Rhinolophus ferrumequinum: one gene and its partner. The protein of the gene in region 1 purifies or fractionates together with the protein of each later gene. This does not show direct contact. Links are inferred from orthologs where the notes say so. Each region holds a gene or a part of one and is shown on either strand. Other genes may lie near its edges. The genes, in order: clathrin light chain B and CLTCL1.

Region 1 (15,628 bases):
GTTTTGTTGACTGAAGAGGTCTATGAGAAATAATTATCTCCAAAAGAGTCCAGACAGTGGTTTCTAAATATAATTTCCCACTAAAAGATTATAGAACTCAGGCGGCCTGTTGGCTCAGTGGTTAGAGCGTGGTGCTCATAACACCAAGATCGCTGGTTGGGGTTCCACATGGACCAGTGAGAAGCAACGGCTTGAGCCTGGAGCTGAGCGGCCGGTGGCTCAGTGGTTAGAGCACAGTGCTCATAACACCAAGGTCACCAGTTCGAGTCCCGCATGGGCCAGTGAGCTGTGCCCTCCACAACTAGATTGAAAAACAACGACTTGACATGGAGATAATGGGTCCTGGAAAAACACACTGTTCCCCAATATTCCCCAATTAAAAAAAAAGATTATAGAACTCTTGGAAGAAATGGTTGATTCCAGTCTGGGGTGAAAATGTGCAGGATGAGCCAGGTACACCTTGCTGTACCAGAAAGCAAAGATGCTGTCAAATTATTACAAAGGGCCAACGATGAGAAAATTTAAACATTAAAAAGTATAATGACTATCTCTTCTCCACTGAATTGCCTTTGCAACTTTGTCAGAAATCAATTGCTACATATGTATAAGACTTTTCCTAGACTCTATTTTTTGTCTTGATGCCAATACCGCAGTCTTGATTATTGTAACTGTGCAATAAATCTTGAAATAAGATAGTGTTAGTTTTCCAACTTGGTTCTTTACTAAAGTTATTTTGGCTATTTTAGTTCCTGCTGGGATTTTTATGATTGTGATTGTATTGATTATAGACGAATATGACGACAACTTATATCTTAATGTTGCGTCTTCTAATCCATGAACAAGGTATGTCTCTCAATTTATTTAGATCTTTAACTTCTCTGAGAAATATTTTGTAGTTTATAGTGTATGGGCCTTTCATATCATTTGTTAGATTTTTCTCTAGATATTTATATTTTTGATGCTATTGTAAATAGCATTTAAAAATTTTACTTTCCTCTTTGTCATTGCTAGTAAATAAAAATACAGTTTATATTGTATGTTCACCTTGCCTCCCACGACCTTGCTAAACACACATATTAGTTCTAGTAGTTTTTTTGTGGCATCTAGTTTCTACATAAGACAATCACGTTGCATGTATATAAAAATAGTTTTAATTTTCCCTTTTAAATCTGGATTTCTCTCTCTCTCTCTCTCTCTCTCTCTCTCTCTCTCTCTCCCCCCTTCTCTCCCTCTCTCTGTCTTTTCTTTATTGCGCTGGCTAGAACTTCTGGTACAATGTTACATAGAAGTTATGAAAGCAGATATCCTTTTCTTATCCTGATCTTAGAAGAAAAACATTTAGTCTTTTCACTGTTAAGTTTAATGTTGTTAGCTGAGTGTTTCCAGAGCTGTCTTTTATCAGGTTGAGGAAGTTCCTTTCAGATCTTAGTTTGCTGAGAGTTTTTATTAGGAATCGAGTTTGGATTTAGCCAAAGGATTTTTTCTGCATTGGGATGATCACATGGTTGTTCTCTTTTGGTTAGTTAATGTGATGAATCACATTGATTGAGTCTCTAAAATTGTGGTGGGTGGACGGGTGGCTCAGTTGGTTAGAGCACCAGCCCTGGGCAACAGGGCTGCCAGTTCGATTCCCACATGGGCCTGTGAGCTATGCCCTCCACAACTAGATTGAAGACGAGCTGCAGCTGAACTGCTGCGGAGCTCCTGGGCGGCTGGAAGGCTCAGTTGGTTAGAGCGGGTGCTCTCAACCACAAGGTTGAGGGTTCGACGCCCACAAGGGATGGTGGGCTGCGCCCCCTGCAACTAACAATGGCAACTGGACTTGGAACTGAGCTGCGCCTTCTACAACTAAGACTAAGATTGAAAGGACAGCAACTTGACTTGGATGGAGCTGATGGGTCCTGGGAAAAACACACTGTCCCCCCCCCCAAAAAAAAAAAGTCCTGTTCTCCAATAAAGTCTTGTTCCCTTTTCTCAATAAAACCTAAAAAAAAAAATTGTGGTAAAATGTACAATTCAGTGGTATTTAGTATAATGTTGTGCAACAATTACTGCTATCTAGTTCCAAAACATTTTCGGCACTCCAGAGGAAACCCCATACCGGTTAAGCGGTCATTCCCCATTTTCCCCTCCTCCAATCCCTGGCAACCACTAATCTACATCTGTTTCTATGAATTTGCCTATTCTGGATATTTAATATGCATGTAATCATACAATATGTGGCCTTTGTGTCTGACTTCTTTCATTTAGCACGTTTTAAAGGTTCATCCATGTCGTAGCATGTCTCAGTGCTTCTTTCATTTTTATGGCTGAATAATATTCTGTTGTGTGTATATACCCTATTTTTTTATCCATTCATCAGTTGATGGACATTTGGGATGTTTCTACTTTTTGGCTACTGTTAATAGTGCTGCTATGAACATTTGTGTTCAACTTTTCGTTGGAATACCTGTTTTCTATTCTTTTGGATATATGAGTATGCCTAGGAGTAGAATTTCTGGGTCAAATGGTAATTCTATGTTTAACATTTTGAACAACCACCAAATTATCTTCCACAAGGGCTGTACCATTTTCTGTTCCACCAGCAAGGTGTGAAGTTTCCAATTTCACAACGTCCTGGCTAACACTTATTTTCCTTTTTAAATAAAAAATTATAGGGGTGGCTGATGGCTCAGTTGGTTAGAGCGCAAGCTCTAAACAACAGGGTTGCCAGTTTGATTCCCACATGGGCCAGTGAGCTGCGCCTTCCACAACTAGATTGAAGACAGCAAGCTGTCAGAGAGGCCACCGGATGGCTCAGTTGGTTAGAGCGCAAGCTGTCAACAACAAGGTTGCCGGTTTAATTCCCACATGGGATGGTGGGCTGCATGCTCTTCAATTAAAGATTGAAAACGGTGACTGGACTTAGAGCTGAGCTACGCCCTCCACAACAAGATTGAAGGATAACTACTTGGAGCTGATGGAGCCTGGAGAAATATACTGTCTCCCAATATTCCCTAATTAAAAAAAAAATTGTAGTCACCCTAGTGGGTGTAAAGTGACATCTCATTGTGGTTTCAATTTGTATTTCCCTAATGAATAATAATGAATAGCATCTTTTCAAGTGATGGCTGGCCATTTGTATATCTTCTTAAGAGAAATGTCCATTCAAGTCCTTTGCTCATTTTTTAAACTGGATTGTTTATCTTCTGGTTGTTGAATTTGTAAGAGTTCATTATGTATTCTTGACACCAGACCTGTATCAGATATATAATTTGCAGATATTTTGTCCTATTTTATAGGTTGTCTTTTCACTTTCTAGATGGTGTTCTTTGATGCACAAAAGTTTTAAATTTTGATGAAATCCAATTTATGTATTATTTTTTCTTTTATTACTTGTGCTTTGGTGTCATCTCTAAAAATCTATTGCCAAATCCAAGGTTATGAAGATTTATGCAAATGTTTTAATAGTTTTATAGTTTTAGGTCTTACATTTAATTCTTTGATCTATTTTGATTTCATTTTTGTATATTGTGGGAGGCAAAGGTGCAACTTTCTTCTTTGGCATGTGCATATCCATGTGTGCCAGCAACATTTGTTGAAGAAACTATTCTTCCTCATTGAATGATCTTGGTATCCTTTTTGAAAATCAGCTGACCATTGATACATGGATTTATTCCTGGACTTTCAATACTATTTCACTGATCTATGTCTATCTTCATGCCACTACCACATTATTGATTACTGTAGGTTTGGAGTAAATTTTGAAATTGGGAAATGTAAGTCTTCCTACTTTGTTTTTTGTTTTTCAAGATTGTTTTGGCTATCCATGGTCCCTTGAAATTCCATATGAATTTCAGAATAAACCTTTCCATTTCTGTAAAAATGGTCATTGGGATTTTGATAGAGTTTGCATTGAATCTGTAGACTACTGTGGACTGTATTGCCATCTTAATAATATTAAATCTTTCAATCCATGGCCACTGAATGTTTTTCCATTTATGTAGGTCTTCTTTAAACTCTTTCAGCAATATTTTGCAGTTTTCGGTGTACAAGTCTTACATTTCTTTTGTTAAATTTATTTCTAAGTATTTTTTTATGCTATTGTAAATGAAATTGTTTTCTTAATTGCATTTTTGGGTTTTTTATTGCTAGTGTATAGCAATATAACAGATTTTTATGTGGTGATCTTATGTACGGAAACCATGCTAAAATCATTCATTAGCTCTAATAGATTTTTTGTGTGTATTCTTGAGGGTTTTCTATATAGAAAATCACTTCATCTGTGAATAGAGATAATTTTACTTCTTTTCCAATTTGTATGTCTTTTATTTATTTTTCTTGCCTAATTGCTATGATTAGAAGTTCCAGTACAATGTTGAATAGAAGTGGCAAAAGTGAGCATTCTTGGGTAGGAAGGTTTTTAACTACAAATTTTATTTCTTTAATAGATGTATGGGTATTCAGGTAGTTTATGCCTTTCAAGGAAAATATATCACAGAGCTCAATGTAAAACAGAAAACTGTAAAACTTCTAGAAGAAAACATTAGGCAAAAATCTTTGTGACCTTGGTTTAGGCAAAGATTTCCTGGATAGGATACAAAGACATAATCCATAAAAAAACAAATTGATAAATTATAACTCATCAAAATTTTAAACTTCCGCTCTTCAAAAGACATTATTAAGAAACTGAAAAGACGGAGAGAAAATATTTGCAAATTATATGTCTGATGAAGGACTTTAGTCAGAAAATATAAGGAACTATCAAAACTCAATAAGTAAACAAACAATCCAATTTAAAAGATTTAAACAGATACTTTACCAATCAAGATATATCATACGCGGGCCAGCCTGGTGACTCAGGCGGTCAGAGCTCCATGCCCCTGACTCCGAAGGCTCCCGGTTCGATTCCCACATGGGCCAGTGGGCTCTCAACCACAAGGTTGCCGGTTCAACTCCCACAAGGGATGGTTGGCTCCACCCCTGCAACTAAGACTGAACATGGCACCTTGAGCTGAGCTGCAGCTGAGCTCCCGGATGGCTCGGTTGGAGCACGGGCTCTCAATCACAAGGTTGCTGGTTCGATTCCTGCAATGGATGGTGGGCTGTGCCCCCTGCAACTAGAAAACGGCAACTGGACCTGGAGCTGAGCTGCGCCCTCCACAACTAAGACTGAAAGGACAACAACTTGAAGCTGAACAGCACCCTCCACAACTAAGATTGAAAGGACAACAACTTGACTTGGAAAAAAGGCCTGGAAGTTCACACTGTTCCCCAATAAAGTCCTGTTAAAAAAAAAGAGATATCATAAGATTATTCTAACTTTTGTTGGTAATATATCAATATTGGTTCATTAATTGTGACAAATATATTATACTAATTTAAAATGCTAATGCAGGAAATTGGGCATATGGGAACTATAATATCTGTATTACATTTCTGTAAATCTAAAACCCTTCTAAAAAAATAAAAGAAATTCTAAATGATAAAAATAAAAGTTAAACTTACTCTGGTACTCAGCACTATAAAAAGGAATGAACTATTGATACGTGGAACAACATAGATGAATCTCAAAAGAATTGTGCTGAGTAAAAAAAGCCAGACAAAAGAGAGTGAATATTGTATGATTCTATTTATATAAAACTCAAGGCCATACATAAAGCATATTAGTGATTGCCTGGGGATGGCAGAGAGGTTTTCTAGGTGTACCCACACGTCAAAATTTATAAAACTGTGAACCTGAAATATTGCATGTCAATTATATGTCAATAAAGGTTCTTAAAAAGTATAACGTCTATGATGAATTCAAACACGTCAAATATGTATAAATCCAGGAGTTCATTATAATACCAAAAAGAAAACAATCCACCAACAAATAGCTCGTTATTCACTTTTGGAGACTGCCAGCACATCAATTCACTTTTCTGAAAGCTGGTAAATTAAGAGAAACACTTAAACATTTATATTACCTCTCCTCTATGAACTCTCCTTCTGGGTAAGCAGATGGATAACGAGTGAAAGTTCTTTAAGAATTTCCAGCTAATGCAGAAATAGTGAAAGAGAATCACCACAATTTTTCAACCCCAAATAGTTATTGACTTAGATAAAGATTACAAAGGCTGCCAAAATTGGAGGTAAAAGCCTGAGCTGGAACTTTGCTATTGAGGGACCAGGCTGATGACACCTAAAGCTGCTGATCAATCCTCACATCACTAAGAGGCAACTAGACACGATGTGATATTTCATGTGGTGCGATGGACTTTCCCAACACCATGTGTGAAACATGCTTGCAAAAAAAGTCATCTGGCATCCCATTAAACCTCAAGACCAGGGTTTCGTGATGTGACTGACATTTTGGGCTCAACAATTTTTTTTTTATTTAAATTTATTGGGGTGACAATTGTTATTAAAATTACATAGATTTCAGGTGTGCAAATCTATATCACATCATCTATAAATTACATTGTGTGTTCACCACCCAGAGTCAGTTCTCCTTCAACAATTCTTTTTGATGAGGGGCTGTCCTGTACTTTGTAAGGTGTTAAGCGGCATCCGCAGCCTCTACCCACTAGATGTTAGTGCCCCCTTGCAAGTTGTGACAGTACAAAAAATTCTCTAAATATTGCCAAATGGTCTCTGGAGGGCAAAATCAACCGTGGTTGAGAACCACTACTCTAGATCTCACTACCAATTCATAGGAAATAATAAAGGTTCCAAAGAGCATGTTAAATTCCACCACAGGAATATGACCAGAAAAATCCACACCGAGAAAAAGTCTACAAAACAATAGATTTTCTTCAACAACAACAAATTGCAAGAAAAAAAAAGGGGGAATGTGTCTATAAAGATTTAAGAAAGAAACATCCTTCAAGCCAGTGAGCTAGGAAGCTCCCCAAAGTTAAATTTCACCACCCATGGAGAGACTGAGGTCCCAAATCAGGCAAACTTTAAGGAGGAGTGGGATATGGACCTCCTGTATCATAGAGACCAGCTTCTTGCCCAGGACAAGGGATTAACAAACTACTAGGAGGGAAACACTCCAATTCACACCACACCAGGGAAAGGCACCTCAAAATGCTAATTGAGAACTGTGATTCAGGGTTTGTTGCGCTGGCTTTTAGCCTGCAAAAAAGGCAAAGGGCAGACCCGCCTCCTGGACATGGCCTGTCAGGACAGCTTCCATGCAGGGCTTAGGCCCCGGGCGAGACTACCTTTTAGGCAGGAAAGATGCTGGAAGTCGAGAGAACAAGAAAGGCATTAAGCAGATTTTAGAGAAGAAAATGTCAACTTCATGCTTAAGGAGAGAGTCCTGAAGTAGGCAGATCCTTTAGCTGGATGTCCCTACAGCATGCAAGTGGCCTTGAGGGCCTGAATCTTCTAGGCAGAAACAAGGAAGTTCAGAGACAGACATCCCAGGAAAATCATGAAATTCCAACATCAACAATGATGGTGGAAGCATCCTCCCTTACATGCTCCCCAGGCATCCTGTGCCCCATCAGCACCAGCCAGGATGCACCATGGGTGCTAGAAACCTCTGAATGCCACCTGCATCTTTGGGCATGTGTCAGCCAGAAAGTCTTCCTCCAACTTCTTCTGAAAAGAAAATTTTGTTCAAAGAAATGTCTCTGTCCAGTTTCAGCAACTCCATTAACTCTCACAGAAGCACATCCTCTACGGAAGATTAATTCTGCTTTTTGTAAGCAATGATATTTATTTATCCTGCACAAATACATTTTTTAAGAAGAAAAAGATTAAGAGGAGATTTTTCTATTGACCATGAAGAAGTAACAGGGTTCTAAATTATCTTCCCACTGTAAACAACTAGAAAACTGGACAAAGTATGTGAAATAATTATTTTCAGACATTAACAATAAGTAGAACAGAACTGTGATTCCCTAAGAGAAGAGAAACAAACAAGTATGATTCTCCAGGCTTTGTACCTGAAGGAATGTTAAATTGCTGAGTACAAAAGGGGCACCCAAACAGAGCTCAGTGGTCTCAAGAGTCAAAGAGATAGAGATAGGAGTTTGGGGATGTTGAAGTGACTTGGATTCACGGGACAGAGTACTAGAGGGAAGGGAGCTAGGCAAACCAAGAATTCTAGAAATACACATAAGAGATGCCAGTGACTTTTTGGCCAAATGATAATCTGCATGTGATGATATGATCTTATATGTAGAAAACCCTACAGATTCCACACAAAAAAAAACTGTTAGAACTAATAAATGAATTCAAGAAAGTAGCAGGATACAAAATCAACACACAAATTTCAGTTGCATTTCTTCACACGAACAATGAACAATCTGAAAAGGAAATTAAATCAGAACACCCGGTGGAGATGACAATGGGGAAGCACATAGCGTGTTCACTAGTCCTCTGTCTCCACAAAATCTGGAGTTGACATTTAGGGCAGGTCTGTCAAACAAGCAAACTTTCCAGGTCTTTCCAGCACCCCAGCCTGTAGTTGGGGGAATGAGGAAGAGGTGTGAGATGAAGGTGGAGCGGTGTGCTTGGACCAGGTAAGCAGGGCTTTAAATTTCTTTCTTGTTTACACTACTAATACTATTCTCATCGTGAGAGTGAAACCTACATCAAAGTATTACTGAGCAAGCCTGAAAGGCCCCTTCACCCCAACCCTACTGCCACGCCCCCACCCACTAAGGGAACTGCTACCACAGCTTGGGGTGTATCTTTCCTTTTTCTCTTCCAGTTCATCGTTGATGTTCAAGTTGCAAATCGCAAAGAGAAGATCCCAAAGCCCCTCCGGGTTTCCTGGTACCCCGTTTCAATGTCAGAGCACCTGCACACGGGCTGTGAGGGCCCGCTTGCCATCTGCTGGTCTGATAGATTGTACTCTCCCCATTGCCAAGACTGGTTTTGCTACGTTTTGTCGCCCTAGTGCTTGGCACAGCACAGGCAGGGAGGAGGCGTTCGGACACTGTGTAGTGAGGGTGACTGGGTGGGGGCTGGCAGGCTGCCTCGATCAATTGTCCGCCTTTCTCAGACTGGACATTTGAGGGGCCCAGCCTCTAAGCAGGGGTGCAGTCAGGTCATACAATCTCTGGCGATCTGAGTTGAAGCCACCCCAAATGAAGAGAAATGCACTAAAGCAACACGTCCTGGTGGGAAAGGCTCTGGACTTGCAACAAAGATGCAATCACGCTGTGGGACTTAGTGTCACCTCTCTTGGCCTCATAATAATGAAATTTATAATATCCACCCAGTTTAGGTGAAGAAACTGCAGAGTGGACCAGGAGCAAGCTCCGCGCAGCGGCCACCCTCTCCGTGCTCTGGAGGTCGGGGCTGCCCGCCGCGGTGGCCCTGTGCACGCTATGGCCACTTTGTGCAGTGAGCTTCCCCTGTAGACCCGGCCGGAGCTGTGCGGTGTCCTGGTGTCCTGGAAATGAGCCCTCTGGCAGGGAACGAGAGCGCTGCCCCGGCCTCGGGGCCCCTCGGGCTGCGCCACCGTCCTGCTGCTGCCCTCCGGTGGCCGCCGCTAGGCGACCTCCGGCTGTCCTGCGGGCCCCCTCCCTCGGCCGGTGACATCACCGCATTCCCGTCCCGGCTCCTCCCGTCCGCACCGCAGTGACAGGAGAGTCGGGCCCGGTGGCGAAGAGGAAGTGCGGGCCCACCACACCGAGCGCGTCCCCGCAGAAGTCGGCTCCCTGGGCGCTGGGGTGACTGTGCCGCCGCCGCGGGGCGCAGCGCCGGGCACGCGCCGGGCAGAGCCGAGCGCCAGGCGGACCCTCCAGCAGAGACGCAGGGAAAATGGCTGATGACTTTGGCTTCTTCTCGTCGTCGTTGAGCGGGGCCCCCGAGGCGGCCGAGGAGGACCCGGCGGCTGCCTTCTTGGCCCAGCAGGAAAGTGAGATCGCGGGCATAGAGAATGACGAAGGTTTCGGGGCACCTGCCGGCGGCCAGGCGGTCCTGGCGCAGCCGGGACCCGCGAATGGGGGTGAGTCAGCGCCGTGGCCTGGGCAGCGGGGGGCCTGCGCCTCAAACCGGGGTACCAGGCAGCGCAGACGGGGCCTCTTCACCTAAACTGGACGGGGCCGCAGACGGGGAGAAAGCAGAGCGCCTGCTCGCCACTAGCCAGGAGCAGGCCTGGGGCAGTGTGTGAGCCGGGCCCGGGGGGGAAATGCGGAGGAATCTTGGAAATTCTCATCTGAGGGCCCGCCTGGGGTTGTGGATCTGGTGGCTCCTGGGACAAGAATTCGTCATGACATTTCATTCCCTGGCCAGCTTCACCACTGCGAAGCTTTGGAATCCAATGGTGCCCAGCCCTGAGAATCTGGCCTGGGGTAGTAGTCGCCTGGCTGTGTGGGCTTCCAGCTGAGCCCTGAAAATGTGGGCAGAACCGCAGACCTCTCTGCCCTTCAGACTTAGCTTTCTCCTAAAGCTGGGAAAGCAGGGGACAGTGGGTGCTCCAGGAACTCACACACCTTCCCTGGGGACCACCTGCCGTCCTGCAGTCACTGGGCTAGGCACTTTATTTACATTTAATAATTTTATGTGCATTATTAAACCCATTTCAGAGATAGCAAAATCGAGGCTCAAAAAGTACAGTACTAAAACAACTGGTAAGTGGCAGAGCGACCGTTTAAATCTGTTTCTGTCAGACTCTAAGCCCTCTCCACCTGACCACATTGTCTTCCATATGCCTGGCTCTGAGTTAGACACCAAGGGAGTGGGGGCAGGGCACAGTCACATGTGGTCCTGCCCTGTGGTGTTTTTCAAAGGTGGGCCAGGGCTGCTGTGGTTAGCCTCAGACACAGGGTCCGGGGCCTGGTCTTTGTGACAGCACGTTTATCAATGATGTTTCTGTTCTGGTTCTGGCTTGAAAGAATAATTTCTTAAAACATTTAGTAAAAAAGTAGATATCACCTTCATGGGTGCATCCAACACAGCACTTGCTTTCTGTTAATGTCGTTATTTTGGTGGGGGTTTCTGGGCCTTTTGGAGTCAGTGGTAGCTTACATATTTTAAGAAAATGTTTACAAGTAAGGCTCCTTAGAGTTATGTTTGTATTCATTCAACATTTAGCGACCACCTTCTGTGTGCCAGGCCCACTGGGGATACAGACATGAGTAAGACAGTTTCTGTGACTTGAGGAGCTTCAAGCTCTCTGTAGCCCCTTGCTTTGAGAAATGTAACAAGACTTTTGTAACATATAAGAAAGTGGAGGCCCAGAGAGATTGAGTATCTTGCCCAAAGTCACACAGCCGTGAGTGACAGAACTGGGACTTGATCCATTCCCAGACCTCCCAAGTCTGGGCTCCATGCTCTTTCACATGTTACGGCAGGGCGGTCGGCAGTTATCTTGGGAGGTGATGGGATGTGGGGGTGAGGGGACGGTCTTTTGCTACCCAACCAAACCAGCAGTGGAGGTCTTCTGAAGCGGCAGCTCCTAGCACCTCAGGACAGACTCTTGCACATCCTAGGAAATGCCTGCCCATGTTCACGCACCAGTATTCATTTGTCCACTTCTCCTCCTTGAGACCACCAGCTTCCCCAGTCTGGCTTGGCTTGGGGGATGCTCTGCTGAAAACAGCAGATGTCACAACCCCCTGAGAGAGAAGCAGTAGAAGTCAGGCTGAGGTAACCAGAGGCGTCCGGGAGTTGAGCGGGTTGTGGCCTCTCCCAGGACAGTGGGGCTCTCAGGGCTCACAGCCTGGATGGGAGTTTCCCTCTCTGGCAGGGGTGGGGCATGAATTGGCCGCATGCCTGAGGTGGCAGGGAGAGAAGCAGGGACATGCCCTGTGAGGGTCTGTGGGACTCACAATTTCACACTGCAAAAGCTGCAAATGCCCTTCTGAGTGGGGCAGGGGGATCCAGGAGGTATCGTGGCTGGCAGCTCAGTAGGTGGCCAGAAAGGATGGAATTGATCTGCCCTCCTAAGCCTACATGGTGCTGAGCAAGTAATTCCCCCTGGACTAGCAGTGAGTGCCAGAAGCCAAATGGGTGGGGAACATGTGCCTTGGCCTGCCGGGAGCTGGGTGGAAGCTGGCTTCCTGTCAGCACCGCTGCCTGTCAGCACCTCTGAGTCTTGTCTCTTAGATGATGCCCCTGCACAGAGTGCCCTGACTTGGGCCCCAGGTGCCCCTGGGAAAAGAGGTGTCTTGTGTAGGCCTGAGCCTGAGCTACATTGAGTCTTTCCTCTGTGGGCTGGAGCCTGTGCAATGGACACTGTTTCCATTCATCACCTTGGGTAAGGCCCAGAAGGTTTACTTTTTCACACCTAGATTGCTGAGCACCCAGCCCGGCTCTGCCGCTGACTTGCTAGTCAGTTCCTGGCAAGCCTGTTTGCCCTACTGGGCCTCAGTAAGCTCCCAGGAATGTTCTGGACCCCGTCTGCCACTGTTCCAAAATGGGTCATGTCTGGGACTTGTGTCTGCTGTGCTCCTTGCTGCCGGCCTCTGACTGCAGACACACGATTATAAAAGTGCAAGAGATGCATCAGAAAGCATTAAGGGAACACATACTCACATTTCTGTATGTGGGTGTCTGTGGGTTCCCGAAGAGGCTGAAACTTCATCTCCAGAACACTCTTGGGACTGAGAGACTGGGGCTGAGACTTTCTGAAGGCCAGTGGGGCTTGAGCCTGGGGCAGGTCAGGGTGGAGTGGGGTGGTACAGCTTCCACTCCAGAGAGGCCAAGTGCGCAGACCAGCGTTGTTGTGAATGGACCTTGGAAATATAAGGCCCTGGTGGAGGAGATACCCCAGGGGAAGATGCTGCCTCTGAAACCCCACCAGCTCACCTGAGTTAGGGCCCAGGCCACTCAGGCAGGAGAAGCCCTATCTGAATGAGTAGGGATGATTGCTGACCTGTCTGGTCAGAATCGACCCCTGTTTTACTCTGAAAACAGAGTTGACTCTAATTTATATAGACTGGAGATTATTTCCACGGATTAAGTGTCCCTCCCTTCAATCCCCAGGCTGAAAGCACTGTCACTGCTGCTCACATCTCTGTCTGGCTGGTAAAGGGATACTTGTCCATCTGTGGTCATCTCATGCGTCCTGTGGCTTTCTGCTAGGAGACACTGCAGTTTCTGAGAGGACTCAGACAGGCCTTGTAAATAACCAGGGGCCCCCAAAGAACAACTCGACTTCCATTTAATCCATACTTATTTCTCACCCATTCTGTGCAGGAGCCCTTGGGAGCTGAACAGGATACAGAGCCTGATAAGGGAGTGCATGAGCCCTGGGAGGTCATGAGTAATTGCATAAGAGGGTGGGGGATGCCGTACAGTATTCTGGGATACACCAGAGGTGAGACCCTCCATCAGTGCCTCGGGAAGCAGGAGCGATAGTGGAGGGCTTTCCAGAGGAGATGACTTGTGAACTGGGCCTTAGAGAGTAACTGGATCCAGAAGAGCATTCTTCAGAGAGGGAAGCAGGAAGAAAGGCATAGGGTATTGAGTGGTGTGCTTGGGGAAGGAGGAAACAATATAGGGTTTGTGGGAAGGGCTGGTTGGCAGTGAGGCAAGAAAAATGGGTGGGGCCAGGCTGTAAAGATCCTCAAGTGCTACGTCAAACGTACTCATTTGACAAATATTTACTGAGCCCCTGTTATGTACCAGGCAAGAGGTGCTGGGCTCCAGCAGTGGACAAAACAAAGTTCCTGCCCTCCTGGAGGGTCCATTCAAGTGGGGAAGTCAGACAAACACCTAACCAAGTAAACATATCAGGCAGTGGTAACTGCTATAGAGACAAGGTTGGAGAGGGGTGCCCGAAGGGTGAATGTCAGGGGTGGTCAAGGAAGGCCGATAATAAAGCAACGTTTGAACAGCAGCTGAAGGGAGTGAGGGAGCCGCCCACTTGGAGACGGGTGGGAGGGCCTTCCAGGCAGAGGGAACAGCACCTGCCGAGTCCCTGAGGCAGGAGCAGGCCCTATAGGCTACTGTGGTCCGTGGGAAGTGGATTTCCTTTTGGTTCATTTTTATTAAATTTTTAATGAGAGGAGTGACATAAGTAAGTGTATGCTTTACAAAATGTCAGCTCTGGAGTTGGTTTGAAAGAGGGTTGGGAGAGCATGAAGCTAGAGTCAGGAAGGCCTGTGAGTGGACAAAGCCTTCCTTCCTTCCTTCCTTCCTTCCTTCCTTCCTTCCTTCCTTCCTTCATTCATTCTTTCAAGGCATTTATTCATTTGTTTGTTCAACAAATAGGTTCTGACTCTTACTAAGTTGCAGGTACCGTGCAGGGATCTGGGAAGGACAGTGGTGAGGACAAAGGATATAGCTGGGCCCCTCCAGGTGTTTGCCACCAGTAGGGTGGAGACCAAAGCATCTGTACAGGCGAGAGCTGGCGCTGAGGCCAGACTGGGCAGAGAGTGGAGGGCAACTTGGAGGGTCACTGTTGCAGCAGAAGCCACAGGAATTTGTGACTAATCAGATGTCAGGGACCAGGAGAAGTCATTGTTGAGGGCAAAATGAAATCCTTCTGGGAGGGGCAGAAGGAGGAAAAAATAGGCCCAGTACTGTCTGGTGGGGGCTGTGGTTCTTGCTTTCTCAGGTGGAGCAGTTGCTCAGGAGCCCCAGGGACAGGCACAGACGCGCAGGTCCCACTTCCTTAGCCCTTGCAGACTCCGCCCTGAGCCTACAGCTCCTCTACCTGCTCACCAGGCACAGGCTCCATAGTTGGGCCATTCCCAGCTGTGGCAGAGGGTATATCCATTTCAGGTAGGTGAGGAGCTATTACTCATTGGATGACCTTGGGCAATCACATAGCCTCTCTGAGCCTCAGTTTGAGAATCTGTAAAATGGGTTGATGTCAACTTCATCACAAGACTGGTGAAAATCAAATGTGATAAAGACTGTGAGAAGGGATGGTGAACAGTTAAGGGCAGAGTTCAAGTCTTTTATGTATCCAGAATGTTTATTTTGGGGGAGGGGTCAATACTCGCATGGATACATACAGTTTGGCTCCGGGTGCTAATGTAGGGCCATTCTGCGCTTCCTATAAGCTGAGCAACAAGTAATGCTGTCTCCTTGTTCTCTTTCTAGCTGGTTCTGAGGACATAGGGACCACGATCAATGGAGATGTGTTTCAGGTAAGCAAGATTCAGCCTTGGCAGTGGTAGGGACTGACAGCCTAGACCTCAGGAACTTACCCATCAGTAGGATTAGGGCTCCCAGTTTTCTGATCACTATGTCTGATGCATTGGGATGGAAACATAGAGATTTTGACATGATTTTCTTGTTATGTAGGAGAACGTGATGAGGAATAAGGACCACGAGAGACAGGGATTGAAGGACTGTAGCCTCTGGCTTCCCACAGTGTTGCCCTGCTCCTGGAGGGAGGGATAAAGTAGCCCACCGTGGTGTGGACTGAAGGAAGCACAGGGCCCTGCACACATTGGCCCTCGCAGGCCGAACTGAGTGGCCGTCCCTCACACACATGAACATTTTAACTGGGCAGGCCTTTGACCCAGAGATTCCATTCCTCAGAGTTTTCCTAAGGAAATAACTAAACAAGGACCCCCAGATTCTTCGCAGGATGATGTATAGTAGCAGACAAACTGGAAATGACCTAAGGGTCCAGCCCTGGGAGCCTGGGTGGGTAAATTGGGAAACCATGCTGTTTTTAAAAAGACAGTCAGAGCTTTCTGTATTGACATGAAAAGATGCCCACAATCTATTACGTGGGAAA
Region 2 (16,249 bases), on another chromosome or scaffold:
CAATAGCCAACATATGGAAGCAACCTAAGTGTCCATAATAGATGACTGGATAAAGAAGATGTGGTACATTTATACAATGGAATATTACTCAGCCATAAAAAAGAATGAAATCTTACCATTTACGACAACATGGATAGACCTAGAGGTTATTATGTTAAGTCAGACAGAGATGGATAAATATCATATTATTTTACTTATATGTGGAATCTAAAAAACAAAATAAATGAACGAACAAAACAGAAGCAAACTCATACAGAGAACAAGTTGATGGTCTCCAGATGGAAGGGGGGTTGGGAGGGTGGGAGAAAAAGGTGAAGAGATTAAGAAGTACAACTGCCAGTTATAAAAATAGCCATAGGACTGTAAATTACAGCATAGGGAATATAGTCAATAATATTGTAATAACTACGTATGGTGTCAGATGGGTACTGGACTTGTCAGGGTGATCACTTACTAAGGTATAGAAATGTCTAATAATTATGTTGTACACCTGAAACTAACACAATATTGCATGTCAACTATAACTGAAAAATAAATTTTTAAAAATGAAAAAAAGAATTACTAGTTGTGTTTTTGGGCACACAAGTATAAAGATGTAATTTTGTGACATCAACAACTGAAAGTGGTAGGGATGGGGATATAGAGAAGTAGAGCTTTTGTATGTTTTTGATGTTAAGCTGGTATAAATTCAAATTAAACTGTTACAGGCTTACCTCAGAGATATTGCATGCTCAGCTCCAGATCACTGCAAGAAAACAAACATCACAATGAGGCGAGTCACACAAAATTTTTGGTTTCCCAGCGCATGTAAAAGTTATGTTTACACTACACTATAGTCTATTAAGTGTGCAATAGCATTGTCTAAAAAGGTGTAAATATCTTTAAAAATACTTTATTGCTAAAAAATGCTAACCATCACTTGAGCCTTCAGTGAGTCATAATCTTTTTTTTCATCATTATTTGAAATATTGTGAGAATTACCATAATGTGACACAGTGACACAAAGTAAGCAAATGCTGTTGGAAAAATGGCACTTATTGACTTGCTCAATGCTGGATTGCCACAAACCTTCAATTTGTAAAAAACACAACTAAACACAGGAGAAGATAGTTATACAGGAAACGAGAGACAAAAAATCTAAAGGTACAGTGGTACCTCGGTTTTCGAATGTAATGCACAAGTTCTGAAATGTTCGAAAACAGCCAACAGCTAGGCCTCAGGATCTTGCACTCAGCGGAAGCCACATGACATGTTCGACTTCTGAGTCGTGTTCAAAAACTGAAGCATTTACTTCCGGGTTTAGGGCACTCATAAACCAAAATGTTGGTCAATGGAGACGTTCGAAAAACGAGGTACCACTGTATATGGTAAACAAATAGTAAAATGACAGATATCCTTCCTTCTCAGTAATACATTAAATGTAAGTAGATTAAACTCTCCAATCAAAAGACAGAAACTAGGGCCGGCCCGGTGGCTCAGGCGGTTGGAGCTCCGTGATCCTAATGCTGAAGCCTGCCAGTTTGATTCCCACATGGGCCAGTGGGCTCTCAACCACAAGGTTTGGGAGCTCCTCAACTGTGGGCTCTGCCCCCTGCAACTAAGATTGAACTCGGCACCTTGAGCTAAGCTGCTGCTGAGCTCCCAGATGGCTCAGTTGGTTGGAGCGCGTCCTCTCAACCACAAGGTTGCCGGTTGGACTTCAGCAAGGGATGGTGGGGCTGTGCCCCCTGCAACTAACAACAGCAACTGGACCTGGAGCTGAACTGAGCCCACCACAACCACGATGAAAGGACAACAACTTGACTTGACTTGGAAAAAGTCCTGGAAGTACACACTGTTCCCCAATAAAGTCCTGTTTAAAAAAAAAAAAAAACAGATTCTGGAAGAATGGATATAAAAACATAATCAAACTATATGCTGTCTGCAAGAGACTCACATTAGATCCAAAAACACAAATAGGTTGAAAGTGAAAGGATGGAAAAAGATATTCCATGCAGATATTAACCAAAAGGAAGCAGCGATGGTTAACATCAGATAAAACAAACTTTAAATCAAAATAATTCACAAGAGACAAAGAAGAACATTGTCCTAAGAGAAATAATGCAGTCATAAAAAGACAGACCATGATTCCACTCAGATTAGGTGCCTAAGAGTAGTCAAAATCATCAAGACAGAAAGTGGATTAGAGGTTGCCAGGTACTGGAGAGAGGAAGGAATGGGGGAGTTATTGTTTAATGAGTATAGAGTTTCATTTTTGTAAGCGGAAAAGAGGAGATGGATGAATAGAACTACTACAGAGGACTACAGTGTAGAATCAATAATTCAATATACTACAAATCTAAGCTTTTTGTACCTTTTCTTAGATGATACTTGGATTTTTATTTTAGAATACCTTAAATCCATTTATTCCACTACTGATTCACATACTATAGTTTTCATATATTTTAATTCTGGTATGTTTTTAATCCCAGAAGGCATTATTATTATTTTGTGTTATATACTCAAATTTCATTTAGATTTACCAATATGCTCTCCTTGTTGAATTTTATTCTTCCTGCATCTCTCATCCTCCATTTGAAATCATTTTATTTTTGCTGAAGAAAATCCATTAGTTTCCTTTGGTTCAAGTCTACTGGTAATGAATTTCCTCAGATCTCATTTGTCTGCAAATGACATCAATCCCCTTTCATTCCTAAAGGGTGTGTGTGTGTGTGTGTGTGTGTGTGTGTGTGTGTGTGTGTGTATGTGTATGTAAAACTTAGAATCTATGATGCTTCTTGTTGTTTGAGAAATCAGTTCTCAGCCTAATTATTTCTCCTTATGTAGGGTAGATGTTGAGGAAAATTTGCCTTCATTGGTTGATGTGAGCTGTTGTCTATTAGCTTTTACCTGTTCCTACATGTGAGGTGATTTCTGTGCTGTGATCAGGGGTTGAATAAATTCCCCCTTTGGTCTCATTCTCCTGAGCAGGGGACATTAAGAGATGAGGTTTTCTGTTTGGTCTCATTCTCTCGAGTAGGGGAGATATGAGATGTTTGTTGTTCTGTCCATGTTGTGAGGTGATGGTTAGCTTAGGGTTAAAGAAATTCTTGATCAGGGGTTGAGAGAAGTCACTCTGTTCTGTTGGTTTCACCCACATCAGCAGATGAAGTGAAGAAGTAGCTAAGTTATATCAGGACAACGTGACAGGCACATTGCAAGGCTTTGGAAGACCTTGGGCTGATGATCCCAAGCAAGAACAGTAGATATTCCTTGTCTGGATGAACTAGCTCTTCAGCCAGATAAGTAATATATTTTCTTTTTTTATCATTGACTGCTGGACCCTCCCGGAACTGGCTATTCCCGGAGGGGGAGGCAGGAACAAAGAGCCTGGCTCTAAGGTACATCTGAGAAAATATATAAGACAGACCTCAGTTGACAGTGTAATTATTATGTCATCATTTGGTCATTTGCCACTGGTGATCTTTCATCATTCTAACATTTTGAAGACTTCCAGCAACATGCAGCTTACAACACCAGGGGATGTCCTGACTTTCAGCCGTGAACCTGGTGAAGTCTGGCTGGTTCCTGGCCTCTCCGGTGTTGTTCCTCACGGTTAGCCTTCTTAAGAATTTGTCAGCATCTTGAAAACTTGTATGCAGCTTACAGCTTACAACATCAGAAGAAGTCTTGACTTCTAACAACAATAACAACATTCTTGAGATTGTTGACACCTTGAAAACTTATATGCAGCTTACAGCTTATAGCATCAGAAGATGCCTTGACTTTTTAACAACAACAACAACAACAACAAAGGCAACAGCAACATTCTTGGGAACTAACAAGCAGTGTTGTGGGAGATGCCTGAGTTTCTGTCAGCTACAGACTTGGCAAGGTTTTGATTTATGACTTTTCCAGTGTTGTTCTCCCCCGGTTTGGTGAACTTTTGACATCTACTGTAATACTTACTATCCTATAAGCTTATTACTGTTTTTGGATACTCCTTACTGATGTTATTTGTGTAGTTAGCCAAGTGATTTTTGATCAATAGTAAACATATGCTTAGTAAACATATCACTTAAACTTGGGATTACTCCTTTGACATGACAGCGGTATCAATGTATATAGTTTAGTCTTCACCACCTTTACTTTCTGACATCAACATATTCTATTAATTGCCTTTGACTTTTACCATGGTATACTGCTAACTGGATTGAGTGAAGATTGCTAAATAAATAATCAATTAGCCCCTCTCTAGTGTGTGCTCCTCCTCCTCCTCCTTCTCCCCGCTCGACATTCAAAAGTAATCTGTCTTTTCCCTCTGACTGCTTTTAAGATTTTTTTTTTTTTTTAGTTTTCATCAGTTTTACTATGATATGCCCAAATGTGGTTTGTTTTTTATGAATTCTGATTGAAGTAATTCTTCTTGAACCTGAGGCTTGATCTATTTCATCAATTTTCAAAACACTCTAAGCCAGGGGTGTCCAAACTGTGGCCCATGGGCCAACTGCGGCCCATGATCCATTGTTAATTGGCCCACAACAAATTCCAAAAATATATTTAGTTTACTTAAATAAACCAGGTGAGGCAATACGTACTTCACCTCGAGTGAGTGGCCCGGCTGTTTGTGTATTTTTACCGCATATGGCCCTTGGTGAAAAACATTGAAAAAAGTTTGGACACCCCTGCTCTAAGCCATTATCTCTCCGGACATTGTGTCTGTCTCATCCTCTCCACGTCTAGGACTCCAATTACATGTATGTTAGTCCTTACTGTAGCCTCTATATTTATCTATATTTTGTACTTTCTATACTTTTCTCTCTGTGCTTTAATTTGGATATATTCTTCTGACCTAACTCCAACTTCATTAGTTTCCTCCTTTAGCTGTATATAACCTAACAAACACTATTCATTAAATTTCGATTATAGTCTTCAGTTCTAGAATTTCCATTTTGTTCCTTTTTTATTTGTTATTTATTTTTATTTTTATTTATTTATTTTTAAGGAGGGCACAACTCACAGTGGCCCATGTGGGGATCAAACCGGTAACCTTGGTGTTATTAGCACCACACTCTAACCAACTGAGTTAACCAGCCACCCTCTTTTTCTAAAGTTTAATAAAATTCTCAGTCGTATCTTTTATTCTCTTAGCCATATTAAGCATAGTCCTTTCAAAGTCTTTGGGAAAACTCCATTATCTGAATCCTCTATAGATCTATTTGTTACTTCTCTTGATTTACAATCATTTGTCCTATCTTCTTGGATTCCTACTTATTTCTGATTGAGTGCTGATCATTGCATATGAAATAATTTGAGGCTTATCATGAGGTTGTCTCTCTCCCAAGAGAATTTATGTTTGCTGCTGGCAAGGACTGACATGATTTGAATGGAGTCCCAAACAATTTGTGTTCCAAAAGCAAAACATTAGGGTCTCTCCTGGGTGATCCCCAGACTTCAAACTTTGTCTTCCTATGTCTCTGAGTGTGTTAAAAGTGCTGCCCAGAACCCTAATTTCTCTGACACTCCTCTGGAATTGGCAGATATCCCTCAGGAAAAAGCATCCCAAATGCCAGGCTAACCGCTCTCATTTCTTCTTTTCTCTTGGATATTGACCCCATAATTATTTCTGCCTTGTTAGTTCTCTGATGCTTTCTGGAAACAGAAGCTATCCATGGACTTTTTAATTTCATGTATTGGAAAACCCCATGAGAATTGGAATTTAGCTATAACGTGTTTCCTAGGCCGGTTTTTAAGTTTGTCTTTCAGTTCTATTTTCCTTTCCCCATCTATAAACTGCTTTATGGTGCTGGCACTAAGACTCTTTAAACTATATTTCTGTACTGGCAGAAACTCCCTGCCCATAGGGATGCTGGAGGGCAACTGCAGGGTCTGCTCCTGTGGACATCACCCCAGCTACACTCTTCAACAAGTCAGAGCAGGTTCTTCCCACAGAAGAAGCTGAATCCAGTCTGAAATTTTTCCAAGACTTGCATAACCAGCCTCAATGCACGTCCTCCTCAGAGGTCTGGGACCTGGCCCCACAGCCCCTCAGCAGCAGTGTGCACCTAAGTCTCATAGGGACACTTCTCAGAGGTCTACGTCCCTACCCCATGGAAACCCTCCTCTAGGCTTAGAGACTCTCTTTCCAGAGGCCTGAGTTCCAGCGCTGTAGTGCTCTTCCTCTAAACTGAAATATTTCTAGTTTCATCCCATTCATCCCTGAGCTGTAGGGATGGTAGCTACTTTCTATACTTGTACATCCATGATAACTTGGGGTTCTCGTTTTACCCTCCCAGCTGCCTAGTTATCAGCTTTATTTATGTTAACTATTGTTTATACTCCAGTCCCTCTGTTAAATAACTGGCGTGGTTTCTGTCTCCTGAAGGATTCTTATTGATGTAGTTCCCATCCTTGTCCTTCCTCTATTCTCATTTTATTTATCTCACAACATGATTAGATATTTTGGTCCCACTTAGTATGTGATGACCAAGCTTTACAGTACTTTATTACATTTGCATTTCTAGAATTTCTATTTGGTTCATTTTTAAATCTGCTTGGTCATTCTTTATAGTTTCAGGTTTCCTGCATGTATTTGTTCCCCAGCATGTATTTTTAAGCTTGCCAGTTAGCTCTTTAAACATATTAAATATAGTAACTTATGGTAGTTACAAAATAGTCATGAGGATGCAAAGTACAGCATAGAGAATATAGTCAATAATGTTGCAATAATTGTGTATAGTGCCAGGTGGGTACTAGACTAATGCAGGGAATCACTGCATAAATTATATAAATATCTAACCACTACGCTGCACACCTGAAACTAATATAAAATAATATTGAATGTCAATTGTAACTGAAAAACAATAATTAAAAAATAAATATACTAATTTAAAGTCTGTTTGTGTGTGATAATTTCATCATTTCAATCTTTGTGAGTCTGTATCTGCCTTTTAGTTCTCCTGGTTCTTTCTTGTGGTGCTTTGTTTTCCTGAGTGTTATTTTGTTGTTGTTGTTGTTTTGTTTTGTTTTTACCATGAGCTGCACATTTTCCTTGGAATTTTATTTGTAGGAAGAAGGTCTGCAAGAAAGACTGTAGAATAGATACCCTGGGTGGAATACTAAAGTGTCTGTGCCCAGCTATCATGAAGTTCTCTTTCTTGCCAACACAGTTATCAAAGTTTTGTCCTTCACTGATGTGATAGGTAGAAAAAGTACATAATATAAATGTAATGTATATATAGAGAGATACAGAGATACATAATCAGTATGGTTTTAATTTACCTTTTTTATGAGCGAAGTTGGGCATTTTTTTCATGTGTAAGAATCAGTTGTATTTCTTTTTTATGTATTATTTGTTCATATATTTTTGCCCATCTTTCTGTTTGGTTGGTGGTCTTATTGAGTTGTAGGATCTCATCATTTCTATCGTGAAGATTAAGAAAGCACAAAGAATTGAAAGACTTTTGACAGGATTACTTGGCAAGTCACACAGCAACGGTAAGAATATTAAGACCCTTTTCAGGTAAGAATGTTTAGTTCCTTTATAAATATAGACACCAGGCAAAGTTCTGACTTATTTGCAATCCTACCATTTTGATTATGCATTATTTTCCTTTCTTCTGGGGTGTAAATTTTTAGTTTTGACCCCCCCAAAAAAAAGCCCTGGGTGGGTGATCTAGGGAATGATACTATTAATACTAAAGGATTTATATGTTTGGGGTAAAGGGTACTTGAGATCATAGGCATTATTGCCAAGATAGAGAAATGTAGTGTTACCCACAGCAAAAATCGGCTCTATTGTTAGGTGATGAGGCCACACAGATGTTGAAAGGGCAGTCTGCAGAGGTAATACTGGAAAAGAGATTTAATTTGCAAGTGAACAGTGTGTTCTCTTTAACATTTTTGGCTACTATATTGAAAAGTTAATGTGCAAATAATTGCATCGCTGTATTATTCAGGGTGGACCATTCGTTTCTTAAAATGACCACTGAGCAACCTGAAACAGTAGAGGATAGCGATTACTCTGTGAGAGTGCCAACGCAGAATGCCAAAAGCTTCCCCTTGCCTGACAAACATCTTTTATGCAGCCGAGCCATCTATATGCAAAACACATCTTCAAATGGTGCCTCTGAAAACAACTGGCTGCTGGGCAAGGCAGGTGTGGACTCTAGTTCCGGACTTGCTACTGCTATGTATTGTGCGACCACAGGCAACCCAGGTGATTCTCACTGGCTTTTGGTTGGTCATCTGCTGCTACCGTGTATGTTATCTTTGCAGACTCGTCGCACTGATATTCTGACACAGTATTCTCTAGAAAACGAATGAACCCGGAAAGATGTTTCCTATAGGAGCGGGGGCTGAGCCTTGCTCAGGAACACATCTGTCACATACTTCGAAGACTCCTTTGGCGGTGTTTTGGGCACATCTGTGCCTGAATTTTAAAAAGTGCCTCTGAACTCAACTGTCCAGAGTTTGAGGTAGAACTTTTCTACATATGGACGGCTCTAGGCAAGAGCAGCCTGGTAACTTGGTTTACCTCTTCTTCTAACCCCGTCACTCACGGAATTTACTGAGGGCAGCCCACGCCTAGTTTTCCGCCACACACACCTGTCCTGGGCATTGGCCCACTGCAGTCAGAGCCCGAGTCCACCTTCCGGTGCTCACCTTTCCTGAGCACAGACCCGGACAGCACAGACTCGCCTTGGCTTGGGGTGCCGGAAGTAAGGCTACGCGCGGACTACTTTTCGCGGACCCTCGGAAGGCGGGCGGAGGGATCCCGCGCACTCTCACGCGGAAGGGGTACGTGCGGCGAAGCCCAGGCAATGCGCCTGCGCGGCGGCGGCTGCGACCTCTGTTGCCGCTGCCTCCCGTCAGTGGGTCGGCGCGTCTGCCTGTCCGCGGGTCTGTCCACACGAGGGGAGCTGTCGCTTTCCCCTCCTCTGCTCCGCGTCCGCCATGGCGCAGGTCCTCCCCATCCGTTTCCAGGAGCACCTCCAGGTGAGGACCGAGCTCCCGCACCGAGGGAGCGGCGGGCGGGCTCCAGGGCGGGTCTCGCGCTGGGTCCTGTCAGCCGCGTCCCCGACCTCCCGGGGGACCCGGCGGCGCCGCTGACCGGCCGGCGGCCCCCAACCGACTCCAGTGGAGACGGCGCGGCTCGGGAGCCTAATGGCCGGGGCGGGCAGGCGGGTGGGTGTCGGGCGCGGTGGCCGCGTCCCGGGAAACCGTTATCCCGCAGCGACTGTCGGCTCTGGGGGTGCGGTCTGGGTAACCCTTCTCGGGCGACTCAGACCTCGGGAATGCTCAGAGTGCCGAGTGATGGAAACCATAAACTGCCGAAACCTGTCGTAGTGCCTTTGAAAAGCTTTAACTGACTAGCGGTGCGCATGCATTCGAATCCCAAGCTTTATAACTCCAAAACCTGTGTCCAATCCTAAAATTTCCCTTTTGCATCTCGTGATACTTACGCCGGAGTTTGCGTCTGTTGACTTGCAGAGTCGCTAGTGTGGCCTCGTGGGAGAGGATCTTCAAATTGTGTGACCAAAGAAGAAAAGTAATCATAGTGTTTTTTTCAGAAGATCCTTTCAATACGATAATAATACCCTCGAAGTTTAGCTTTTTAATGAGGTCCCACTTTCTTCTATCTATAACTCTCCTGATATAGTTGTGCCTGAGGAAAAGAAAGATTGGCTGCCTGTGTTTGAACGAAGTTCGGTACAAGCACTGGGCACAGCGCTCCGCTCACATACACTCAGGTGTCATACCTGTGAAGGGTAATACGATTCTCACTTTACAGGTGAGGAGATGGGGCTAGATGAATAGTAGCTACCAGCTCTTTCTTAAGTGCTTTATGTTAAATCATTACACTTCATAAAATACGCAGTATTTCCCCTGTTTTCTAAAGAAGGAAACTGAGGCACAAGATGTTAAATGAGTAACTTGTCCTCAGTCATTCATTGAACAAGAGAAGGATTCAGACTTGGGTCTTTTTGACTACACAGCTATACAGCAAGGAATTTGGTGGATTGAAAGGTCGTGTTTTCACAACACAGTGCACTTTTAACTCTATATCCAAACGAGAAAGGCCCTGGGAGTCTATAGTGACTGTTCAAATCGCCCCCATCCCGCAGATTGAAAACTTGATACCTGAGTATCCTGCCAGGGTTACTCGGTTAGTGATATAGCTGGTTGTGTGGAGGTGGAAGTCTCCCAAACACCCATCTCCTTCCTGGGCTCCATTCTACCACTGACCCAAGCCTGTTGCCAGTTATGTAGAACAGCAAAATACTACTACTGCTATTAGAATAATATAGTCATCATTTATTGAGCTGTTTCTCTTGCCAGTCACGATACTGTATATTTTAGAAATCTCATTTAATTTAACTCACGATAATTGAGGCACGAAGAGGTTAAGTAATTCAGGTAAAATTACACAGCTGGTAAGTGACAGAGCTTGGGTTCTAACCAGGTCTCTGACTCCAAAGCCTGTGCTTTAGCCACTGTCAAAATACATTCTTTTCAAAAGGTAGGGAAGCACTAAGGCATTTTAAATACCCATCAAAGTTCATAATGCCTTGAAGGGACATATTCTATTATCTGGAAAATATGTGTGGCTTGTGGCATACAGGCCATGAGAGTAGAAATCTGTGGTTTGTGGTTTCTGGCACTAACCAGTGTGAAGGCTGCTTTGCACTCCTTGTTTATTATCTAGCCTGCACACTCTCCCTTCACGGCAGACATTTCAGAACTTCCACCTTGTCCTTAAATCCCTGATCCTGCCACTCCCTCTCACTGCCAGCAGGTAATTAGAGAAACAAGGCATAAGCTGGTATGTTCCTCACCTTGATGCATGCGGCCTTACAAACTTGTATGCGATCTCCCTTTTCTGCCTTCCTGTTACCTCCAAAGTGGGGTTCTTTTTCTTGTGTATGTAATGGGGCCTTGCTCGGTAGCATCTTGTCTTTCCCGTATTTTCATCCATTTCCTCTTAGTGGGTTCTTCCTGCTTGTGCTTAACCATGCTCATATTGCTTCCATCTTTACAGCAAACTTCTTCCTCCCATGTCCTCCTGAAGCTCTTACTTCATGGCCAGACGTCATGAAAGAATTGCCCTATCCCTTCTTCACTTCCCTTATGTTCCTCAATAACCTGCAGTCTGGTTTTTGTCCCCCTTGCCAAGGTCACATGCAGACATGTCGTTATGCAGACTTTTTTTGTAAAGGACCAGAGAGTATATATATTCAGCTTTGAGGGCCACATATTGTTTCTTGTCACAAATTCTTCCTTTTTTTTTTAACCTTCTAAAAAATGTAAAATCCATTTTTAGTTGGGCCATACAAAAACAGGTTATGGTTTGCCAATCCCTGCTGTAAAACATAAACTCCATCACGGGGATGTAAAGTACATCACAGGAGATATAGTCAATAATATTGAAGTAACTGTGTATGATATCAGATGGGTACTAGACTTATCGGGGTGATCACTTCATAAGTTATATGATGTCTAATCACTATTTTGTACACCTGAAACTAATACAATATTGTATGTCAACTGTAATCGAAAAATAAAACATTATTTTAAAAAATAAAAACAAAGCAAAAAAAATTAAATTAAATTAAAAAAAATAAAAACAAACTCAAACTCTTAGCATCACAAACATCTTCCATGACTTTCCAGCTGCATTTGACACTGTACTTTATTGCCTCTCCTGGACCTTTCTCGGCTGCTTTTGATGGTACCACAGTCTCCCAGGATTTCTCCTACCTCTTTGCCCATACCCCAGTTTCCTTTATAGATGTCTCTTATGCATGAGCCTGGGGTTTGTCTTAAGCCCCTTTATCTTTGTAGTATGCTCTGCTCTGATTTGTGTGTATGCTCATGTACTCATTATTCCCAGAGAGGTTGCATATTTTTGCCGAGCCTCGGAGCTGCATGTAGGAGAGGCAATTGCAGACTCTGGTTAGAGTAGAGACTGAGGCCAAGTGGAAGGGTTTGAGTCTGGACTCAGGCACATACTGACCATATGAATTTGGGCAACTTGGGTAACCTTTTTGTGCCTCCATCTCTACATCTATCAAATAAGAGATAAAAGGTATAATTCTTACCTCGTAGAGTTACTGAGGTTTTGCAGTAATAAATGTGGTAAATGTAAAGTGTCAGTGACTGGCCTGTAATAAAACACTATGTTCTTGTCAGCTGTGATTGCCATTACAACAGCTCTCTGTTGAACAAAGCCATTGGATGACCCATAGTTTCCTCAGATACATCATGTTCAGAAATAGGGTTCTTCTTCCTCCCCAAACATGTATCTTCTCCAGTTTCCTGTCAGGAATCTAGGAGACAAGCATGATTTCTCCCTAGCCTATTGGTTCTTCCTCCTATTTATTTTTGGCATTGTTCTGCCACTGTCATCGTGACCACCACTGCCCTAGAGTCTGCCATATTCGTCACCTAGATGGTCGTACTATGTCTCTGGTCATCTGCCTCCAGTCTTGCCCTCCCCTGTCCATTCTCTAGCACATAGGCAAAGAGACCTTCTCAAAGGATGAACAGCTGCTTAGTCTGTCAGTGAATGGTTCTCTGTTGCCTCCAAGATGAAAATGCCAGACTCCCAAGAGCTCTGTAAAGCCCTGCCTAATCTAGCACCTGCTTAGCTCTCGCTACGCCCCTTCTTGTCCTCCAGGACCTTTTCTGGAGCCTGACACCTTTGCTCATGGGCTTTTGCACATATTGTTGCCTCTTTCCAGAACCCATTCTTCCCTTTGCCACTGTCATTACCCAACCAAGTCCTACTTAACCATCTGGTATCTGCTTAAATGACACTGTCTGGAAGCTGTCCCTGACTTGTCAGAGCCCTTCCTTTGTGCCCCTGTGGCCTTTGGGACTTCTCTTATGATGGCCCTCATCCAATGGTGTTATAGTTGTTCATTTTCCCTGCTGGACTGCCAGCTCAGAGAGGTCAGGATTTCCTCTTATTTGCAATTGTATTCCTGCGGCTTGGTACATAATAGGCTGTCAGATCGCTGAAACCAATTTCATAATAAAATGTGTGTGTAATTAGTGACTGATCAGTTATAATGTAAATTGTCTAGTGATGAGGTTTGCTCACCTGTGACTGTTTGCTGTAAGTCTGCTTTATTAAAAGTGCTTGTTTGTCTCACTGACTTTGCTTTGTTTCTGCCTCACCTCTGTCCACCTGATCACTCCCCCAAACCAAAAATTACTTGAGAAAAGAAGGTTCTCCAGTTTTACAATATTAGGAAAGGGAAAATGTAGACTAGTGACTGATAAAACTTAGTTCATTTAAACTTAGTTTTTTTCTCTGAATCTTAGTTTCCATGTCATGCATAGAAAAATAATTCTAGATGCTTTACATTTGTGCATCTTACTATAAGAATATTAATTTTTTTATGTTTTTAATTTTGCTTTGTTTCATGTGAAAATTCTCAGACCAGATTTTTCCCGGAGGAAAAACAGTAGTTTTATAATGGTCAGTAGGAAAATAGAAATAAGTATTTGGAAACTTTTATTCTACAATCAACTTTTCAGGGATGTACCCAGAGCAGAAGCTGCACTTTTATATGTAGTGTTTTGTAATACAGCATTCCTTCTACTTCACCTTAAGATCATAGCGATTTATTTAGTTTTGCTTATCCTGTCGCATTGGTTTTGAGAGGACTGGTTCTGCAGAAATATGTTTCTTTTTTTTATAAGTACTATTTGAACTTTTGAAATTCAGATATCTGAGTTGTAAGGTTGTTGCTGTTTGTGATATCTGAGAATGGAGAAAAGCGAAAGGGCTAAGAACTGATGACACCTTAATTCATAAGAGGAATGGCTGAACCATTCAGTGACCTAGAAATTTATCGTGAGCCCTAGGTAATTTTCTCCCAGCTGGATCAAAAAGCAGCTGCTAGTTTGTAAGAGTTTTGAAATGTGGCACAGCTCAATACACTGAGAACTTATAAACATGTTCTCTCAAGTATTTGATTATGTAGGATATCTCTTAGCTTATGGTCTTAATAGATGCAGAGTCTGCAAAGGCAGTCTGTGTAAATTATAGGAGCAAGGTGGTCACTAGTTTTAATCAGTGCTTCTCAGCACAGGCTGGACTTTCAAAACACCTAGCCGGTGTCCATAAATCAGAATCTCAAAGAGGTGAGGGTGGGACTTTGGCATTTCTTCCCAAATAAGTCACACTCAGCAGGGTTGAATCAATCTTTTAGATGTTGGTCATAATTCATAATTAAAGAAAAAGGTTGGTCTTTGAAGGCTTTTATTATGTGAGTAAGGAAGGCAGAACTCTAAGGAGTATACTGAGCTTGAGAGAACAGTTCATGAGCATGTGTCTTCTGGAGAGGCCCTTGGGAAGTCACTGAAGGGAGACGTGTACCCACAGCCTAGTACATGCTTGATTTATATTATTATTACATAGCCATCTCGTTTTGTGAAATGGTTTTTGATCTACTGAGACAAACAGCAGTAGGCTCATTATGTGCTAAAATTGTTGTACACCTATGTAAAACTTTTTTTTTAAGGTCTTGTGTAAGCTGTTAAATTTTGCCTTTTGGCAGACTTATGATCCTTGTGCTAGAAATAGATACTGGGCAAGTCATTTACCTTCTGACTTTTCATATTTACAAAGTGAGGAAAGTAACCACCTGCTCACCCAGGGTGTGTGGGAAGGTGAGCCTTTGTGAGCATGCCCACAACAGTGGGTGGTGAGGGACCAAATGTGAAATGAATTTGAATAGGGCTCCTTTGGAAAAACTGATCATCACTAGCTAACACATTCTAATGCTCAAAATCCCTAAACTGCAAAGATTTCCAGTACTTTTTGAGTTTATTGGGTTGAAAGAGTTACCAAGTCCAAGTGGATCTTAGTCAGTGTTCCTCCCCACCAGGTTCTTGGGCATTCTGGAACTGGGGCAAAAGTCTATGTGGAACAAGCTTTACAAACAAAGTAATACATACCCATGGGAGAAGAGCCCCATACAAACACTATAAATTAAAATTAAAGCCTTTCTGTTCAACCACTGGGTTTCTCTCCCCAGAAGAAACCACTATTAAGGAAACTACTATGTTTTTCAAGAAATGGTTAAAAGAACATTCTCTATAAATATTCTCCTGCCCTTTGCATTTGTAACTTACTACAGTTTGAAGATCTTTCTTTCAAGATCACATACAGATCACAGCATCTGTTTGACAGTTTTGTTCATTAATATCTCCCTGGGTGGTAGTAGTGGGCACCCCGTCACCCCATCCTGTAAGTATTTCTTTGCTTTCCCTTGATCTTCCTGATTTTTCCCGCTTGCTGCTTCACCGAATCTGCTGCTTTTATTCTCTTCTCCAACACTTTCTTATTCTTCTCTTGTTTGAGACCTGCTGGTGGCCTCCGTGCCAGAGAGAGATTACCGTGACTCTTGGCTGGCTACAGAAGGATGCCACAGAGCTGGGACAGCAAAGTTCAGTGACAAAATTAGAATCCAAAGAGATCTCGACAGGCAGGAATCCAACTAGTTGACATTTAACAGGGATAAATATAGGGTCTTATGCATTGGTTTTAAAATACAGAAAACCTGCAGTGGTGTAATTTGAGACAGGGTCTATAAAGCACTATGCAAGTGTACTTTTTAAACTAACCTAGTCCTAGAAGTTTAGGTAAGTTCTAGAAAAGACCTTAGTATCATCATTTACAAATGTCCCTCTTTGAGCTAGGAAAAGCTTGCTGATAAGTTTAAAATATAAAATATATTTTCTTAAATGTATTTGCAGATGAACTAAATCTGACTGCCTAAAACAAGTAACTTCTTTACTAGTTAATTATTTAACATACACATGCTGGCCGCTGGGATAAGGCTGTGAATGAGCCTGGGAAAGGGGCAACTACAGAAGGAAAAGGACTGGCATCTTCAGAGGCACAGAGGCGTGAAAACAGGGGGGATGTTCAGTGCAACTAGAATGTTCTGGCTCTGATACAGGCAATTGGTGTTTTCACCGACAGTCCTGTATAAACACAGCTGTAACCCTCGTAGTCAGACTGCTACTCCTGTGCCCCTTAAATATAGCGACCACAGGACTGTCAAATGAGCGGTTTATTTTTACGTTTTCCCGAGTGTCAGATTTGAATTTGGATTTGTTTAATTACAAGTCTTGAGAACTGAAAAAAAATCATTTGATAGTATTTTGTCTACTTTTGATTAACTCTTATAAAGGCTATTTTAAATGTGTAGCTAGGTTACCTATCAGAATAATTATACAAGGAATAATATTA

The links.
Region 2: the proteins of clathrin light chain B (region 1) and CLTCL1 purify together in Homo sapiens (affinity purification with mass spectrometry; 3 studies listed by BioGRID and IntAct, with this or other methods). This does not show direct contact. The link is inferred for Rhinolophus ferrumequinum from reciprocal best matches to the Homo sapiens genes CLTB and CLTCL1.

The regions. Positions count from the first base shown.
Region 1 is NC_046307.1:6,076,505-6,092,132, forward strand, and holds the start of clathrin light chain B, read left to right. Parts: upstream 1-9,518; 5' UTR 9,519-9,747; coding exon 9,748-9,934; intron 9,935-14,982; coding exon 14,983-15,029; intron 15,030-15,628. UniProt on the Homo sapiens protein: Clathrin is the major protein of the polyhedral coat of coated pits and vesicles.
Region 2 is NC_046308.1:23,899,502-23,915,750, reverse strand, and holds the start of CLTCL1 (clathrin heavy chain 2), read left to right. Parts: upstream 1-8,488; 5' UTR 8,489-8,934; coding exon 8,935-8,976; intron 8,977-16,249. UniProt on the Homo sapiens protein: Clathrin is the major protein of the polyhedral coat of coated pits and vesicles. Two different adapter protein complexes link the clathrin lattice either to the plasma membrane or to the trans-Golgi network.